Macaca fascicularis: one gene and its partner. The protein of the gene in region 2 binds, or shares a complex with, the protein of the main gene of each other region. Links are inferred from orthologs where the notes say so. Each region holds a gene or a part of one and is shown on either strand. Other genes may lie near its edges.

The links. The genes of interacting proteins can lie anywhere in the genome.
Region 1: the proteins of KCND3 (region 2) and KCNIP1 are in contact, whole or in part, in a crystal structure (PDB 2NZ0), measured with the Homo sapiens proteins. The link is inferred for Macaca fascicularis from reciprocal best matches to the Homo sapiens genes KCND3 and KCNIP1. Residues at the interface, in NP_001365898.1 of Homo sapiens: Ala6, Ala7, Trp8, Leu9, Pro10, Phe11, Ala12, Arg13, Ala14, Ala15, Ala16, Ile17, Gly18, Trp19, Pro21, Val22, Pro26, Met27, Pro28, Leu29, Ala30, Pro31, Lys34, Lys36, Arg37, Asp39, Trp54; in NP_001030009.1 of Homo sapiens: Leu67, Arg69, Gly70, Phe71, Glu74, Val80, Phe85, Ile88, Tyr89, Phe92, Phe93, Tyr101, Leu105, Phe109, Phe122, Ala125, Leu126, Leu129, Leu130, Leu138, Trp140, Thr141, Leu144, Tyr145, Ile161, Val162, Ile165, Tyr166, Met168, Met169.

The regions. Positions count from the first base shown.
Region 1 is NC_088380.1:177,305,859-177,313,618, reverse strand, and holds the start of KCNIP1 (A-type potassium channel modulatory protein KCNIP1), read right to left. Parts: upstream 5,131-7,760; 5' UTR 4,577-5,130; coding exon 4,516-4,576; intron 1-4,515. UniProt on the Homo sapiens protein: Regulatory subunit of Kv4/D (Shal)-type voltage-gated rapidly inactivating A-type potassium channels. Regulates channel density, inactivation kinetics and rate of recovery from inactivation in a calcium-dependent and isoform-specific manner.
Region 2 is NC_088375.1:122,369,829-122,377,744, reverse strand, and holds the start of KCND3 (A-type voltage-gated potassium channel KCND3), read right to left. Parts: upstream 4,709-7,916; 5' UTR 4,470-4,708; intron 1-4,469. UniProt on the Homo sapiens protein: Pore-forming (alpha) subunit of voltage-gated A-type potassium channels that mediates transmembrane potassium transport in excitable membranes, in brain and heart. In cardiomyocytes, may generate the transient outward potassium current I(To).

The sequences.
Region 1 (7,760 bases), on a different chromosome or scaffold from region 2:
TTCATGGACAAAGCCAATTCAAAACCAGCAGGCTGAATAACAGAATTCATTCCCGGTAGAGGGCTGGTAACTGAAATTCCAGCGGGAAACTAACTTTTCCCACAGGGTCTGCAATTCTAGAAAATAATGGAGAGTGGCCAACCATGCCATTGTTTATAATTTCCTCTAGAAAATTTTTTATTAAGTACCTACTATGTGCACAGAACCAAGCAGAGAGTTGTGAAGGATGAGTTAGATGAACTCCTACCCCAAGAACCCTGCCCTCTGGTGGAGGGGAAAGGGGGTTAACATCTTCACTGATTGTCTAATTCCAAACACGATTGTGAGTCATAAGAAAACGTATGCCTTAAAAGAATACGGGAATTCGGATGGGAGAAGTCACTTCTCTCTGGGGCTTGGAGAAGGCTTCCTGAATGTGGAAACTGCTGAGTGAGGTCTTGGAATGTGCATGGAATTTTAACTATTAGACAAGGTAGCAAGGGGTGGCGTGGGAGAGTATTACAGAATTAAAAGGACAGGCAAAGATGCAAAGATGGGTAAAGACCAAAGCACAAACATTTCTATAAATCAGGATTCTCCTTTTGCAGATAAAGAAACTAGCATTTACAAGCTAAAATGACTTGCCATACAGGACTATGTGACAACAGGACCACTGCTTCTCTATGCCTTTCTGTCTCTTGTCACCCTCCCAGATCTTTAGGTTGAAAATACTGCCTTGACCGATAAACCCTAAACCCAGCCTCATCAGGTGCACTCTGCTTTCATAAGTTCCCTGAGGTGCTCATTGATCTAGGAGCAAATATGGGACTATTAGGAACATTCCCATGTTTGGCCCTATATTAACCAGTACCATATTAACTCACCACGTGGCCTTAGAAAAAGCATCTGATAGCCATGGAGTTGAGTTTACTCACCTATGCTATGACTATTCTGGAGATCCGAAGCTCAGCCCTTTCAGAAAGTTCTGCATGCTTGCACTCGGTCATGGAGGATTTCTAACTCAGCCACCCCTGCAGTGTGGGATTATTTGCTAGTAGGCAGTTCTCTATTGAGATGGCCTTGATCTAGTGATGTTGTCCCTAAATTCTCCTGCCCCCCCTCGACAAGCCCGGCAGTTGCACCTGTATGGTCCTCCTCTGGTTCTCCTCAATGCCCTAGCCTGTCTCACTTGCCCATTCAAGGCCAGGAGCAGTGTCCTTGGTGTGTCATGCACATGCAAAACTGCTAGAGCCAGAAATTCTCTCTGGGACTGGGATGCAGAGGCTGAATCCCAAAAGCAGGGCTCTTCTACTTTTAATTAAAGACACACAAAGATCCCAAACAGAGAGAAGGACAGGAAGTGAACCTGAATATTTTTATTCAGTGGCATGGCTCTTAAATTACTTTAGATTTCTGTTGCCTTTAGAGAGCTCTCTCTGAACACCAGGTTGGGCTGGATATCTTCTTGCAGCACTAATCATGCAGAGTTTTTGCCCCATTTAAAAACGATGTATGTTTCTAAATTGTATTATCAAAGCATTCAGGATTTTAATTGAGCAGGCTTTGATGTTTTCAGGACAAGCCACAGAGTAGAGGTCAGTGAGGGCCGAAGCAAGGGACGAGCATCTGTGTGCCTGGGTTTTTGGTCCTAGTTATCTGGATAGGGCTGGATAAGGTTTCCAGAAATGAGCTGTTAAGACTCTCAGATGTACTGCCTACTTGGAAAATGGCCTTACTCTGGACGTTTGGAAGCCCCAAACAATAGAGCCACAAATTGAATAGTACCTAAAATTTGCAGACCACTTATAGCTCAGAGCTGTGCTAAATGCTTGACTTGCATGATCCTTGAAATCCACACAACACAACAGCTATTTTAAGATGGTAACTACTACTACCCCTGTTTTATAGTTGAGGAAAACAAGGCTTAGTCATCCAGCTAGTAAGTGGCAGAGCCTGAATTTGAACCCAGCAGGGAGACTGATTCCTGAGTTGAAAAATCCCAACTGCTCTCTTCTGACCGCTTCTAATTAGATCTGAGCCTCACGTCTCTGAGATCATAGCAGCAGCTCTGGTGAGAGCATCAACCACAAAAATATTAGAATTTGAGAACCAAATGGAACCTGAGGAAATGCCTAATGTGAATTTCTCCTTTTACAAAGAAGAAACTGGGACCCCAGTGGGGAAAAGTGACCTGGCCAGGATAGGATCCCTGACCACTAGCCTCCCCAGCCAGGACTCCCTCCAGGTTTCCAAGCTGCTTCCCATAGAAGGGTCTTCTGCTGATTAGCATTCCACTGTGCAAGGCAGTGAGATGACTCTGCTCCGGGGGCAAATGCCTGGGGGAACATATGCAGCTGGACCCCTGGACAACTCACGCCAGTGTCACAGGCTTTGTGCAGGAAAGGCTGAGTGCTCAGTGCTTTGGTAGCTTGTCTTGGGAGTCCACCCATTGGCCCCGAACCTGCCATGAGTCTCAAACAAACATTGTTGTGAGAGTTAAATGAGAGTTGTTGATAAAACACCTAGCACTATGGCAAGCACATAGTAGGGGCACACTAAATGCTAGTACCCCCTCTTCTCTTTCTTTGAATCTGAGACAGAAGCAAAGACCTTTGTACTTCGGGAATCCTGCAGGAATTCATCCAGGGTAAATTCCTGGATGTTTGGGGCAGGAGAAGGAAATGGTAGACAGCAATGCCTGAGCTCTTACTCTTTCCCCAGCCCTATGCAAAGAGCTCCGTATTCATCATTCATTCAATTCTCACATCCTTACAACAACTTCCTCTGGGTCCCTGGTGGCTGCAGCCAACACAGAATATGAAGCCGAGTCCCCCCTTCCTTGACTTCCTGCATAACCAGTTTCCTTCCAGGAAGTAGCATACGAATTTTATGGATGAAAACCTGAGGCTTAGGGAGGTGGGGGGACTCGCCTAACGTTCCAGAGGCAGGGAATGATAGAGCTGGGATTCATACCCAGACTCAACTTGAATCTAGGGCCTGAGATCTTTCTGTGACACCCAGCTCCCAGGAGAGCCACAGGCATGCAAAATATTTAAAAACAAGCCCCTGACTTTCCTGTCCCCACAGTCCCCTGGCCTCTGAGACCGCATGGTGGCCAGACAGGTGATGAGGGAGAAGACCTAGATTTGGTGCTGAAAATTGTCTCCAGTCAAGCAGCATCCCAGGATCTGCAAGAGGTGAGGCTTGGAGTGTCAAGGCCTTGGGCTGAGCTTTGCAGACCTGTTCTGGTCAGGACTGGTAAAAGGGCAACCAGTCCCATCCTTGCCAGCAGGACGTGTAACTCAGCTGGACAAATGGGTCAAAGCCTCTTCCTATGTTCTAGGCTGTAAATGTCAACCCAGCTTCAGCACCTAAGATCTGCACCCAGAGATCGCTTTCCTTGGGGCTCAGCCAGCCTGATGCTTCTGGGATCTAGGCCAGAAGCTGGGACCCCTTCTTCCAGGGGGTTTCAGGGACAGTTTACTTGCGTAGATCTCTGTGGTTCTAACCAGGGTGAGACCAACCGCGTTCTAAGAGGAGAAGGGGTCCCTTACCCCCATTGCACTTCTACTCACTATCGGGCATATAGGGTAGGAGCTGTAACTCCCACCTGTATCCAGGATGGGGGCTCCGATGGTAGAACTTGAATGTTTAAGTGTCAAAGCTACTTAAAATCTTACCACTCATAGTGACATTCGAACATTAAACAAAACAAAACCCATCATTTCCCGTTTCCTAACTGCTTCCAGTCTCTTTATTCCAGCAACTAACTTTCGAACTGCTGGTAAGGAGACCTGCATTGTCCTCCAGGGCCCAACACACTAGTTTCAACTTCATCTGGACCCATTTGAGGACTCTCTCACAGGTGGTGAGATCAGCTATGCCTCGGCTGGGGACAGGTGGTGATGGAACAGCGTCCAGGCAGAAGAGACTCCAGGATATTATGCTTTAAATCCTTGCTGTAAGCTCAGCTCCCAGCCAGCCCTTCACGGTTGCTCCTCCTGACTCCCGGAGCCACCAGGACATAAGGCCTGGGAGTTTTACCCCTGGCAGTAGCTGATTCCTTTTGGCTTGCAGAGGTTTCGGGGGTGCAGACAGAGCACTCTTCCTGATGAAGGGACTCGCAGGTCTGTACCTGGCATAGCCGCCTGGGAGGAGTGTGGGAGTGTGGGAGCACCCTCCCTGAGTGCTCAAACGCCAGCTGTCACACACACTTCCACCAGAGAATCCGGTCACCCCACCTGTGAACGTGCTTCTTCCTTCGGCTCCCAGAGATTTCCCCAGGAGAAGAGTCCCGGCGCCTGGTGCCCCAGAGGGGTCCAGTCGCCGATGGGGCAAACGTCCACTCTGGCTCCCTCCTCTGGTGTTCACACCAACCCTCCCACCGGTTTCTCTCTCCTTTGGATACAATCACCTGTCCGGGCTCCTGGTGGAGAGGGGAGTCCGGACTAAGGGAGGCAGGTGGCACACCCCACCTCGGCGCCCAGCACCCCCAAACCCAGACAGGGGAACAAAAGGAAGAAGGAGGTCGCTTACCTTTCGAGGGTCGCCTTTGTTTGGTTTGCAGAGATGAGAAGGTGCCCATGACGGCCCCCATGGCGGCGAAGACTTGTGTGCGAGTTGGGACCCCGGGCCCTGCCCCTCCCCTTCCCTGGAAAGAAATCCCCGTGGTTTGTCTACTCTGAATTGGAGGAGAGAAAAGCGACCGGCAGCTCGCCCGCAGCTTGGTATTCAGCGAGCGTGGAGCCGAGGCTAGGAGGTTTCTGGATTCCTTCTTCAGCCCGGCACATGCAGGGACTCAGGGCTAGCTGCTCCCCGCCAGCCTTCGGAACCGCTTCCCCGCGCGAGGACTCGGCCCGGCCGGTTCCCTCGCCCAGGGCCGAGGACGGTGCCCTGAAGCCTGCCTGGCACTGGACACGGGGCCAGCGCGCCCGCCCGGCCAAGGCTGCCGAGCCAGCGCCGCGTGCGGTGCGGGAGCCGCGGTCCGCCCGCCCCTCCTGCCGCACGCTCGGCTCCCCTCCCGGCGCTCGGGCTGGGTCTCGGAGGGCCGAGTACCAATCATGAATGAACAGAGCCCGGACCGCGCGGCGCGGAGCCACAGCGCGCCCGCCCGCTGCCTGCTGCCTGCCGCCAGCGCTCGGGGCGAGAGTCGGAGCCGCGGAGGGGGCGGCGGGCTGGCAACTGCGGAGGGGCGGGGCGGGGGCGAGGGCTGCACGGTGGGGGCGGGGGACACCCGGCCCTGCGCCCTCACCCTCGCGCACCCTCATCCGCCCGGGGTCTGCGCGGGACCCCCAGGAGCATGCGACCCTAAGAGACAGATCCGGGGCCAGGTACCTGGCTGATGGGTGCGGTTCAGGGGGCAGTAGGTTGAGTGGCCCCAGGGAGACTCTGTGTGTGTGTGTGTGTGTGTGTGTGTGATGTGCGCGCGTGCGTGTGTGTGTGTTCCTGTGTGTGGTGCATTGTGATTTCATTTGACTTCAAGGGAAATCTTATTTAACCCACTGCCTGAACTCATGGGGAGGGGGAAAGTCGGCCCCACCCAGAAAGGGGTGAAAAACACATCCAAATGGATGGTCACAGCAAGAAGGTGCCGTCCTGCTCCACGGGTCCTTGAGGGTTCTGCAGAATTCTCCCATGGCAGGGCCCACCTTCTACTGACAGGAAGTTGGGGAGAAGAAAGGAGCCCTCAGCCCCTCTGAGCCTTTACACTCCCAGTTTTCTTTTTCTGTTTTTTTGAGATGGAGTCTCGCTCTGTTGCCCAGGCTGGAGTGCAATGGCGCGATCTCTGCTCACTGCAACCTCTGCCTCCCAGATTTAAGTGATTCTCCTGCCTCAGCCTCTGGAGTAGCTGGGATTACAGGCGCCCACCACCAGGCCCAGATAAATTTTTTTGTATTTTTTAGTATAGATGGGGTTTCGCCATATTGGCCAGGCTGGGCTTGAACTCCTGACCTCAGGTGATCCACCCGCCTCGGCCTCCCAAAGTGCTAGGATTACAGGCAAGAGCCATCGCACCCAGACTGCTCTCTCGTTTTTCTGTTTCTTTCCTCCTTGGTTCTCCCTCTTCTCCCTTTCCAGCTCAAAAATTTATTAGCCATCAGCTCCTGGCACGGGTTGTTAGTGCTTGAAGGGGCAATGATTAGATTCAGGAAGCCATTTCCCTTCTGTGGGTGGCTTCTCACCCAAAGGGCAAAGTTTGCGTCCCTGCCTGTGAACTCAAAGCCGTGTGGTGTTGAAATGCAAGATTTGCTCCCTGGAAGGTGGAGGAAGAGCTTCCCTCCCCCAAGTCTGAGCTGCTTGGGTTCCCACTGAGACCCATTGTGACACCAAGAATCCTTTACCCAAGCTGGCCCCCACACTCCCACCTGGTGATTTTCTCTCTGCCACACAGATACACACCATGTTAGCAGTTCACAGAATGCCCGGACATATGGCCTCATAAACAAGCATGCATGCCCATAAAGTCCCACAAACATATGGGCGCAGCTCCTTAAGTCCACACAGACATTGCTATTGTACACACAGACAGACCCAAGGCTCATAATACACCTACAGTTGCCGCCCACAAAGATGGAGAGACACACAAACACACAGGCATGCAGATGCACACACAGTGCAAAACTGCATCACAGTCACCACATTCACACAGGCTGAACGACACACAGGCACAGAGTTGAATCCCCAGGATACAAGCCCCTTGAGAGCTGCTTCCCCTAATGCCAGCCCATGAGCTGTCCGCTCAGGGCCACAGGTGGCCTGTGACTTGGCCAGGGTCCCTGAATAGTTTTCTTCACCTATGCAGCATTTAATGCTTTTCTGCAATTCCAGCATGTGTCCTGTTTTGTGCAACAGGGGAGGTGTGCTTACGAACATACTTCCTTTCCTTTGCATTGCCAACTGCTGTGCAACCACATTGTCCACGTGATGCCCACCAAAGCCCTGTGAATTAAGCAGGTGCCTGACCATCACCACAGAGAGAAATTGAGGCTTACCTAGTGTTAGAAATTTGCCTGAAGTTGCCCAACCAGGATGTGGGATTAGAAGTTGGTTTCCAGGCCTCTGTCATGGTCTCCTGGGGAATCCCCTGCTCACAGATGAGGGCACTGAGCCAGAAAGACCTGCTGGGAGTCCCATCAGATTCACAGCCTCTGCTCTCCTAACTGCCAGCTCAGGGCTTGTCCAGGCCAGGGAAGCCTTGAATCCTGGAAGACGGGGCAGGGGCTGGTCCCTGCTTCCCTCCTGCCTTCTCTGTTGGGGAAGAGGGCGTGTGAGGCTGAAGCTCGGGGTCACTAGAGGACCAAGTAGGATGTCCAGGATTCAGGGAACAGAGGAGAGCCCTTTGCCGAGGAGAAGGTGAAGCCACCCTGGGTGTCTTTGCCAACTTCTCCAGGACACCACTGTGGGAGCACCAAGCTACCTCCCCCTCGGGGCTCTGCTAATTTTCATGGTACCTGAATGACCATAAGGACAGCACTTGAGAGGTCACAAAAGTCTCGAATGTCATCCTCTCATTTCTGCTTCCCCACAACCCACTGAAGAAGCAGAGTACAGATGACTTGCTCCATTTTGCAGATCAGAAATAGCAAAGTGCTTCTGGATGTGTTTGCCATTGGCTGCCTCTGAACAGTAGGTGTAAAGTGAAGTCACCAAAATAAAATCCAAACCATTGAACATGAATCATGAGGTCTTTTTTGTGGCCTGTGGCTTCTTCTACAAATCCTCCCTGACTCCGGTGCTCCCTCTGTGGCTCAGCCTACCAGACCCCTCACTATTTCTCAGAT
Region 2 (7,916 bases):
TCATGAAGGCCCAAAGTCCCTCGGGCCTCCTTCCCATGGACCTTCTTGTCGCTCACTCTCACACCCCACCCGGTTTCTCCTGTTCCCCTGAAATCCATTCTGCTCAGTGTTATCTCCCTAAAGCAAGGTTCTGATTGTATGTTACCCCATGACCTACAAAATAAAGTCCAAACTCCTGGCCTGGCATTCCAGTATTCCCACAAATAGATCCTAGCTTCATACTCCAGCCCAATGGCCCAGGTACCCGTCCTAGTCTCCAGCAATAAGACCAAGACCTGTTCATGGACAGACCCTGGGGAGGTCTGCCTCTGGACCACTCTTCCTTCTCATGAGAATATCCTTCCCCTGGAACCCTCCTATTAGAATCCTACCTATTCATCACCCTCTCTGTGATGCCTTCTCCTCTCCCCACTATGAGATTCTCTTCTTCCTCTGGGGTCTTGACTTATTGTTTGCCCTCTTCCCTAGCACCTATCACCCCACAGCTAGGATTACACATACTTTATACACATATTATTAACAATGACTAACAATTGAGCACTTACACTATGCAAGGCATTACACTAACTATCTCCCATAGATTATCTCATTTAACCCTCACAGCAACCCTAGGAAGAAGAGTCTGTTGTGTCCCCCATTTCATAGATAAGGAAAGCTAAAGCTTACTGAGACATAGCAGTCTAACAACCCCAAAGCGGCAGAATAGGGATTCCACCTCAGGCAGTCTGCTGAGGGCTGACGGTGTGCCGGGCACAGTACCACACACTTACATTGAGCATCTCAAGAGATCTCACCAACAACCCTGAGGAGTAGACACCACTGTAGGCCATATTTTTTCTACAAAAGAAAGATGAAGCATAAGGAGTTGTAATAATTGTCTAAAGGATGTAATAAGTAGGCGCAGCCATTAAAGCCAGGCAGACTCAATGTGGAGTTCAAGAGTACAGCCAGACCACTCCCCAACCTTCCCTATCCCACGCTAAGCTCTTCTGGGCAAAGGCCGAGATGCCTCCACTTTCATATCACAACCCAGAAGGCAGCATAGTGCACTGCATCAGTAGGTGCTTGAGCTGGGACCCCAGTTTTATAGGTGCCATTTTTTCCCCATTAACTTTACTCTATGCCTTGCTAATATATTTCAGGGGTTGCCAAGGGTGAGCGTTCTGTCTCCAAACAGACAGTAAAATCTGAAGACAGATCTGAATCAAAAGAATCCAATTCAAGTATCTGCCTCTGACTCAGTCAAGTTTTCTAAAGAAGCCAATCTCTGCCTCAGTTTCCCCATCTGCATGCTAAAGGGAATTGTCACAGGGCCCTTCTCTCTCTAATAAAGGGAGGTTGAGTCAGATGCTACAGAAGATAACAGGAATGACAATGACATTTCCCGTAAGTGTCACTGCTCAGAACAGAAAAACAGCACAGGCCTGATGAGCTCCTGATTACTGGAACCGAGGAACTGAGGAAAGAATGGAGGTCGTTCATGCATGGCAGTGGGTAATTCACATGCTACTGATAGACGAGTCGGGAACACATCCTGCATTGTATTTCTTTCTAGAAGAAATTTACCCTTCTAACTATACTTTGTTTAGGATTAGGAGACTTAGTAGTTCCTCAGCATGCACTTAGCTAGGATTTATTTCTAATGGGCAAGGGATGTTTGAGAAGCAAGTCCACAAGTTCAACTCTGTTCACAGGTGATTCCAATTCAGAGTTGGTTACATTTATTGAGCACCGACAATGCTCTGGACACTGTCTGAGACACTTTTACACACAATATTTAATTTATTCCCACTAAAATCCTATGATAGAGGCTTTTCTGCCCAAAGCTTACAGGTAAGGAGAGGGAAGTTCAGAAGTCTCCTTCAAAGTGGCTAAGTTCTATGTATATATAGGAGCTGACAATTTTCAAATAGACCATTGATCACCTCACTGCCAACTGGCTTTCCTGATCTAGGTGTTGCCCAATACTGATATTCCCAACAGAAGACAGCAAGATGCAGAGACTCCTTTCCCTATCTTCCCCAGGCAGCAATGAGCAAGGGCTCATGAGGCCTTGCAATTCCAGTTTCAATCCCACCCTCAATTTGTGAAAGCAAGCCATGATCACCCTCTGGGCCTCAGAGTCCTCCTCTGTAAATTGAGAATTGGACAGAAACGTGACAAAAGACCATTTGGCTCAAATGATCCCTGATTCCACTGGATCCAGGACATCAAGTCTGTAACTTAGTTCTCATTCAGACCTCTTAATGACAGTCACCCATGCAAAGAAGGAAGTAGAGCATCTGGGCTTGTTGCTGTGAGGATGGAGTTAGCCTGAGCCTCAAGGTAGCAAAGGGAGTTCTGGGAATTCCTGCTGAGGTTGGTGCTCTGCACAGGGCACATAACCTGTGTCACTTGGTACCCAGGGGCAATTCAAGGCCTGGTCTACCCACAGACCCTTGGCCACCTTCCTAGAGAGTAAAGGAGACCAAGTTCCCAGACTCTCAGCCCTGGACCTTTGATCTTTAACATCCTGTTTCATCCCAGAATAAAGCTCAGAGAGGCAGAATCTTGAGGGGGTTCAAGAGGCAAAAAGTAAGAGACCACTGAATTACAGGCACCCTGTGGAACCCTGTGTGGCCAGACACAGAGTTCTGCCCCCTGAGAGGGTGATGCCCTTCCCCTTTCATTCTCCTAGTCCTGCTCTACCCGGATTCCCAAGTTTTAATACCTGCCCCTGCCAAGCTGAGTCTCATCACCTTCTCCTCTCTACCCTAAGCCAATCTCCAAAAACCGGTAGTGTTTTACAAACTGCTTTCAGATGAATAATTGAGAGCTCAGGAGAAGGAAAAATTAACCCCTCCCTATCTTGAGACCATAAAAGCTTCCAGTCCCAAGGCCAAATGTTTACCCGATGCATGAATCCAGGGCAATCTTCCTAAAGAAGGCCAAGCAAGCACCTGCCTGCCTCCAGAGGCTCAGCCGCTGTCCCCCTGGTAAAACATACCAAAAAAGGAGCAATTACCCCATTGTTACTTTCTCTGTGTGTGGGGGTTGGAGGGCGAAAGGGGAGGACAAGTGTCCCACCAGACAACATACCCAAGGCTACACTGGCCATATCCACCCCACAACCCTGCAGGAATGACCCACTCAAGTAGGCCTTCTCCATGGCTTATACAGCAGGGTTCGCACCCTGACAGGAACCAACACCTTCCGGAGCTGGCCTGGGTATGAATTCCTGCAACAGGCACAACAGTGCGGCCCCATTTCCAGCCAATGGCACTGCACATGCCTCAAATGCCAAGGTTTTACTAGGACGTGGACGCCTTACAAATGAAAAATCTGAAGCTATTTTTGTTTTTGGCAGAAGAGTTTGACAGTGGGAAAGATAGGGGGTGGGGGCAGGCTGGAAAAGAGACATTCAAAACAGGTAAGCTCTGAAATGAAAAAGGTGACAAATCCTGGCAAAGGAAAACATTTTCCCCTGCTGTAAAAAGTCAGTTACTCCATTAAACAGCTTCTGTTTTGGAGGTAAAAGGCCAAAAGTGGGCGGAGTGACCAGACAGCCTGTCCTGGGGTTTGACACCTAGCTGAGTACAGGCATAAGGCAGCAAAAAAAGTCATGTCACCAAGGTCTGTCCTTCAATGACCTCAGTGGAGAGCATCTGGAAAGTTACTTTCCACAATCTCACATCACATCCCTTAGCTCAGAATAGGGCTGGTCTGGGGGCAGCGGAAGGTGCCCATGACCCAGAGGGCTTCTCCTGTGTTCACAGGATTTTGGTAGGCAAAGCATGAAACTGACAAGGTGAAACAAGCTGGGGATCCTTGGGGGACAGGCTTGGGACACACGCACAGATCCTCTTCTCCAACAGTGCCACTCCTAGGCTAGCCAGGGCACTTTCCTGAACTCTTTTTCTCCAGCCTCCTTAAGAGCAAAAGGGAACAAGCTACCAACCTCTTTCTCTGGGGGTGGGGGAGAGGGGTCCCTTGTATACTTGCATTTTGTTGCATTCAAGTAGAGACAAGGAAAAAATAAACACATCAATTCCCTTCCTGTGGGCCAACAGGTCCACATGGGGAAATGTACACATGCTTTGTATTGAATTCGTGCACACCCAGGAGCCCTTTCTACAGACAGTAAACATACAGGCTCCCTCGAAGTAAGGTAAACAAGGCATACATTTAACCATCACGTACATTCATGCAAAATACAGCAACGCATGCCTGGTCTTACAAACATCGCATTGTGCCTAGGACCCCGAGAAAGTTCAGACGCTCTCTCTTAAGAAATACACGGACCCTTTTTCTTGCTGTGCGATTTCAGGTCTGGAACCTCAGCCTGTTGCTGACATATCAGGGCTGCCCGGAATAAAGGCAGAACATCTTGGATCGTATTCAAATGTCGACACTAAGCAAGCGCAGGAATTTAGTTGAGTCCAGGTAACTTTGCCCAGTCCCTTCCCGTCCCCCACCTCCAATGTAAACACCTCGCAAAGTGAGTCTTTCGATCCCCCTTCCCCGGGCCTCGACGGCCCTTGGCGTCACGTAGAGACCTTTCCCAGAGCTCGCGGGGTGGAAGCGGCGTCGGGCAGGACCAGACGGACTGGCCCCCAGCCTCTGGTAGACACACCGCCGGCTCGCCGGGCTGGAGAACTTTGCGAAGCGCCCCAAACCGCTCCCGGTTTCCACTTTCAGCCATTTCTCTCCTTCTCCCCTCACCAAGAGCGGGGACGGAGCAAGCCTTCGCCACCTGTCTCTGGCACCCGCCGAGGGAAGACAGGCCAATGGAAAGAGGGCAGAGGTTCACACCCCACCCCCGAACCCCAGCGCCTGGCTGCCCGGAGGTGGCTCCATAGCCCGAGGGAACCGACGCCCCCGGGCCGGCTGCCTGCTCCCCCACGGCACGGGCCCCACCCCCAATCCTTCCGGCGCCCCAGCGCCCACCCACCCGGGCGCGGGAGTGGGAGGGTGCCGCGTGGGCAGCCGGAGCAACAGGCGTGGGAGCAGCGCTCCTCGCACTTCCTGGCTCCAGAAGGCTCGGTCGCGTCCCTCTTACCTTCCGCGAAGCCAGCCCGGGCCCCGCGCCCGGCGCCCCGCGCGCGCGAGGAAGCTGCAGCCGGGAGCCGGGGGCCGCGGAGGCGCCGAGCGCCCAGCAGCGCGGGGAAGCGCCCAGCAGCCGCCGCTTGCGCGGCTCCTCCTCGCCAGCGAAGTCTCGCTCGCTGCCTCCCTCGCTCGGTCGGTTCGTGCGTCCGTCCGTCCGTGGGGCCCTCCCTCCCCCGCCGCCACTGCCGCCGCCACTGCCGCCGCCACTGCCGCCGCCACTGCCGCCGCCACTGCCGCCGCCGCCGCTGCCGCAGCCTCAGCCTCCGCCGCTCCAGCCCCGGCTCGGCAGTGCGTCCCCTCCCCGCCTCGCCGCTCCGCTCGCGGGCTCGCGGGCTCCCTCGCTCGCTCCCTGCCCCCGCCGCTGCCGGCGCCGCGCCGAGCGGAGCCCGGCCGGCCACGGGCTGCCTCTCTCGAGGTCCCTTTCCCGAGGGGGGAGGTGGTGGGGGCGCGGCGCAGGCGGGGCGGGGAGGAGAGGAGAGTCCGGGGGAGGCGGCAAGGCTGCGCCCTCGGCTCTCTTCCGATCCCCGCGGGCCCTGCGGCCCCAGGCCGGGCCGGAGAGCGCCGGGCCGGAGAGAGCCGAGCCGCCAGGCAGCGGAGGGAGAGAGGAGGAGGACCCGGAGTCTCGCCGCGGGAGGGTGCCCAGGGCGAGGGCGTGCGAGGGGGAGTGACTCCGCGCGCGAGGGTGTGTAAGAGTGTGAGTGCGTGTGTGTGTGTCTGTGTGTGTGGAGAGGGGCGCGCGCGTGAGCGGGGGGTGGGGAAACGAGGCAGAGCCTGGTGCGTCTCCCCGGGCGAGTGGAGGAATCCTAGGGTGTGCCTGGAGGTGGCGGAGTGTACCGACGCGGGTGTGAGCGCGTGTGCCAGCGAGGGTGGGCACGGGGGTGAGTGTGGCAAGGTGAGCTGGGTTTGGGGGTGGGGAGGAGCGGCGAGTACGGCGTGAGCGTAAGTTCGGGGGCGTGTGTGGCTGGGGACCCACGGAGAGGTGGCAGGGAGCGCCGGCGTGTGCGCGCGTGGGGTGTGTGTGCACCTAGCTGTGTGTCTATTTCTCGCTGACTGTCCACAGGGCAGCAGCATCTGCCTGAGACCAAGCCCGGCCACCTGGCAAGGTGGGGCCCCCTACCGCGCAAGCTTCGCGGCTGGCCCCGGGCTCTCAGCTCCGAGTGCAGAGGCTGAAGAGGTACCCAGGGGACACACTGCCTCTAACCCCACGTATGAGCCGCTCTCCTCTCGGAGGGCGAAGACACCATCGGAAGGTCGAGATTCGCCCTCCTATTCCGCCACGTCTACCCACTACCCAGACCGAGAGTCTGGACTTGAGAGCGTGAACTCTCACCCGAGCCGGTCCCCTTCCAACGGGAGCCCGCCCAGCTCCTCAGTCCCTCCATGAAGCCCATGGGTCCCCACTGCCCCGTGCCTCGTCGACCCAGGATGGGGAGTGGGAAGGTCAGCATGGGCCCACAGGGCCAGGTGTCCGGCCCAGATTCCCACCCTCAGGGCGGCGGCGCGCAAAGGGCGCAGTCCCAGACGCTGGGCGGACCCGCGGCTCCGGCTTTCCCGGTGTCTCCAGCCTCGGTGCCCGGAACCCCCGATCTCGGCCTGGCGCTCCGGAAGCGAGGCAGCTCGGTGCCCCAGCAGGGACGGGGAACGCTTGGCTTGAGAGATCACATTTCTGGGTGTGGAGAGGTGGGTGCCGAGGCAGAGGAACGCAAAGTGCGTTGTGACCGCGGGGGTGTTCTAGACTGCGAGGGTGTTCTAGACCCTAGGACAACTGTAGACCCAGGGCTGGAAAACGACCTCCCTGAATCCGGAACGGGGCTTCTGGCTTGTGAGAACCCCTAGCCCTCTTCCAGATGAAGGAGTGGGAGTCGGTAATTGTGGTCTGGGCCTTTGTGGGCCCCTGGCACCTTGGAGTCCCTCATTCACTCACTCTCACTTTTTCCGGAGCCCCCTTCAGTCTGTCAGTTTAAAAGGTACACAATTGGCCCTTCAGGAGGTGGGCGTGGGCTCCATTAGCGTTTGCCAGGAGTCCCGGAGCTGTGTGGGATTTGCATACAGTAATAATGATTAACAACACTGCCACTCCCTGGCAGACAGGGGAAGAATTCAGGGAAGGCCCTGGCGCTGCTCCCACCTCCCTCCTCCCTTCCCTCTGGGGAAGGGCTAATTTTCTGGCAACTGCACACCTCAGTTCCTCTGACCCCGGGGAGACAGTGCCTCGGGTCCTGGGTGGTCACTACTCAGGAGGCGGGGGCACTTTCCTTCAGTCCTCCGTCCCATGTTCAGGTCGGGAAAGTGAAACCCATATTTTTTTTCTGCCCAGGTTTGAACTCCTATACATTCTCTCTGTTGTTTAGCATCTTGGGGGCAGCTCAGGGGTTGAGTCTTCCTCACTGTTTGGAGGCCTCAGGAGACAGTTGGGGACATCTTTTCTCCTCAGAAAGTCAACTAACGGGACAGTTGTGGCCTCCTGAGACTCGTAAGCTCCGTTTGAAGACCAGACGCTGGTCCAGACACCTGCCTCCTCTTTCCTCATAAGCTCGTAACTCATTGCTTAAGTGTGGTAGCTGTAGACTATTCTCTCCTTTCTGTCTTAACCATCTAGGGAAAATAGGAAAGACTGGGATTTCTAGTCTAGGCCAGTGTGAGTTTTGTTTACCAGCCCTTCCTACAACCAGGTGATCTGCAAAATGAGAGCAAGCAATGGGGAGAAAGGAGGCCCCTTGGCTCAGGCAGCTGGAGTAGCCCTACTGCCCAGGAGATGCTGTCCCTCCTACCAGTCCCCAGTCATCTATTGCATCTTTCCAGCACTGCCTGTCCTCACCTTCCCCCTCTGC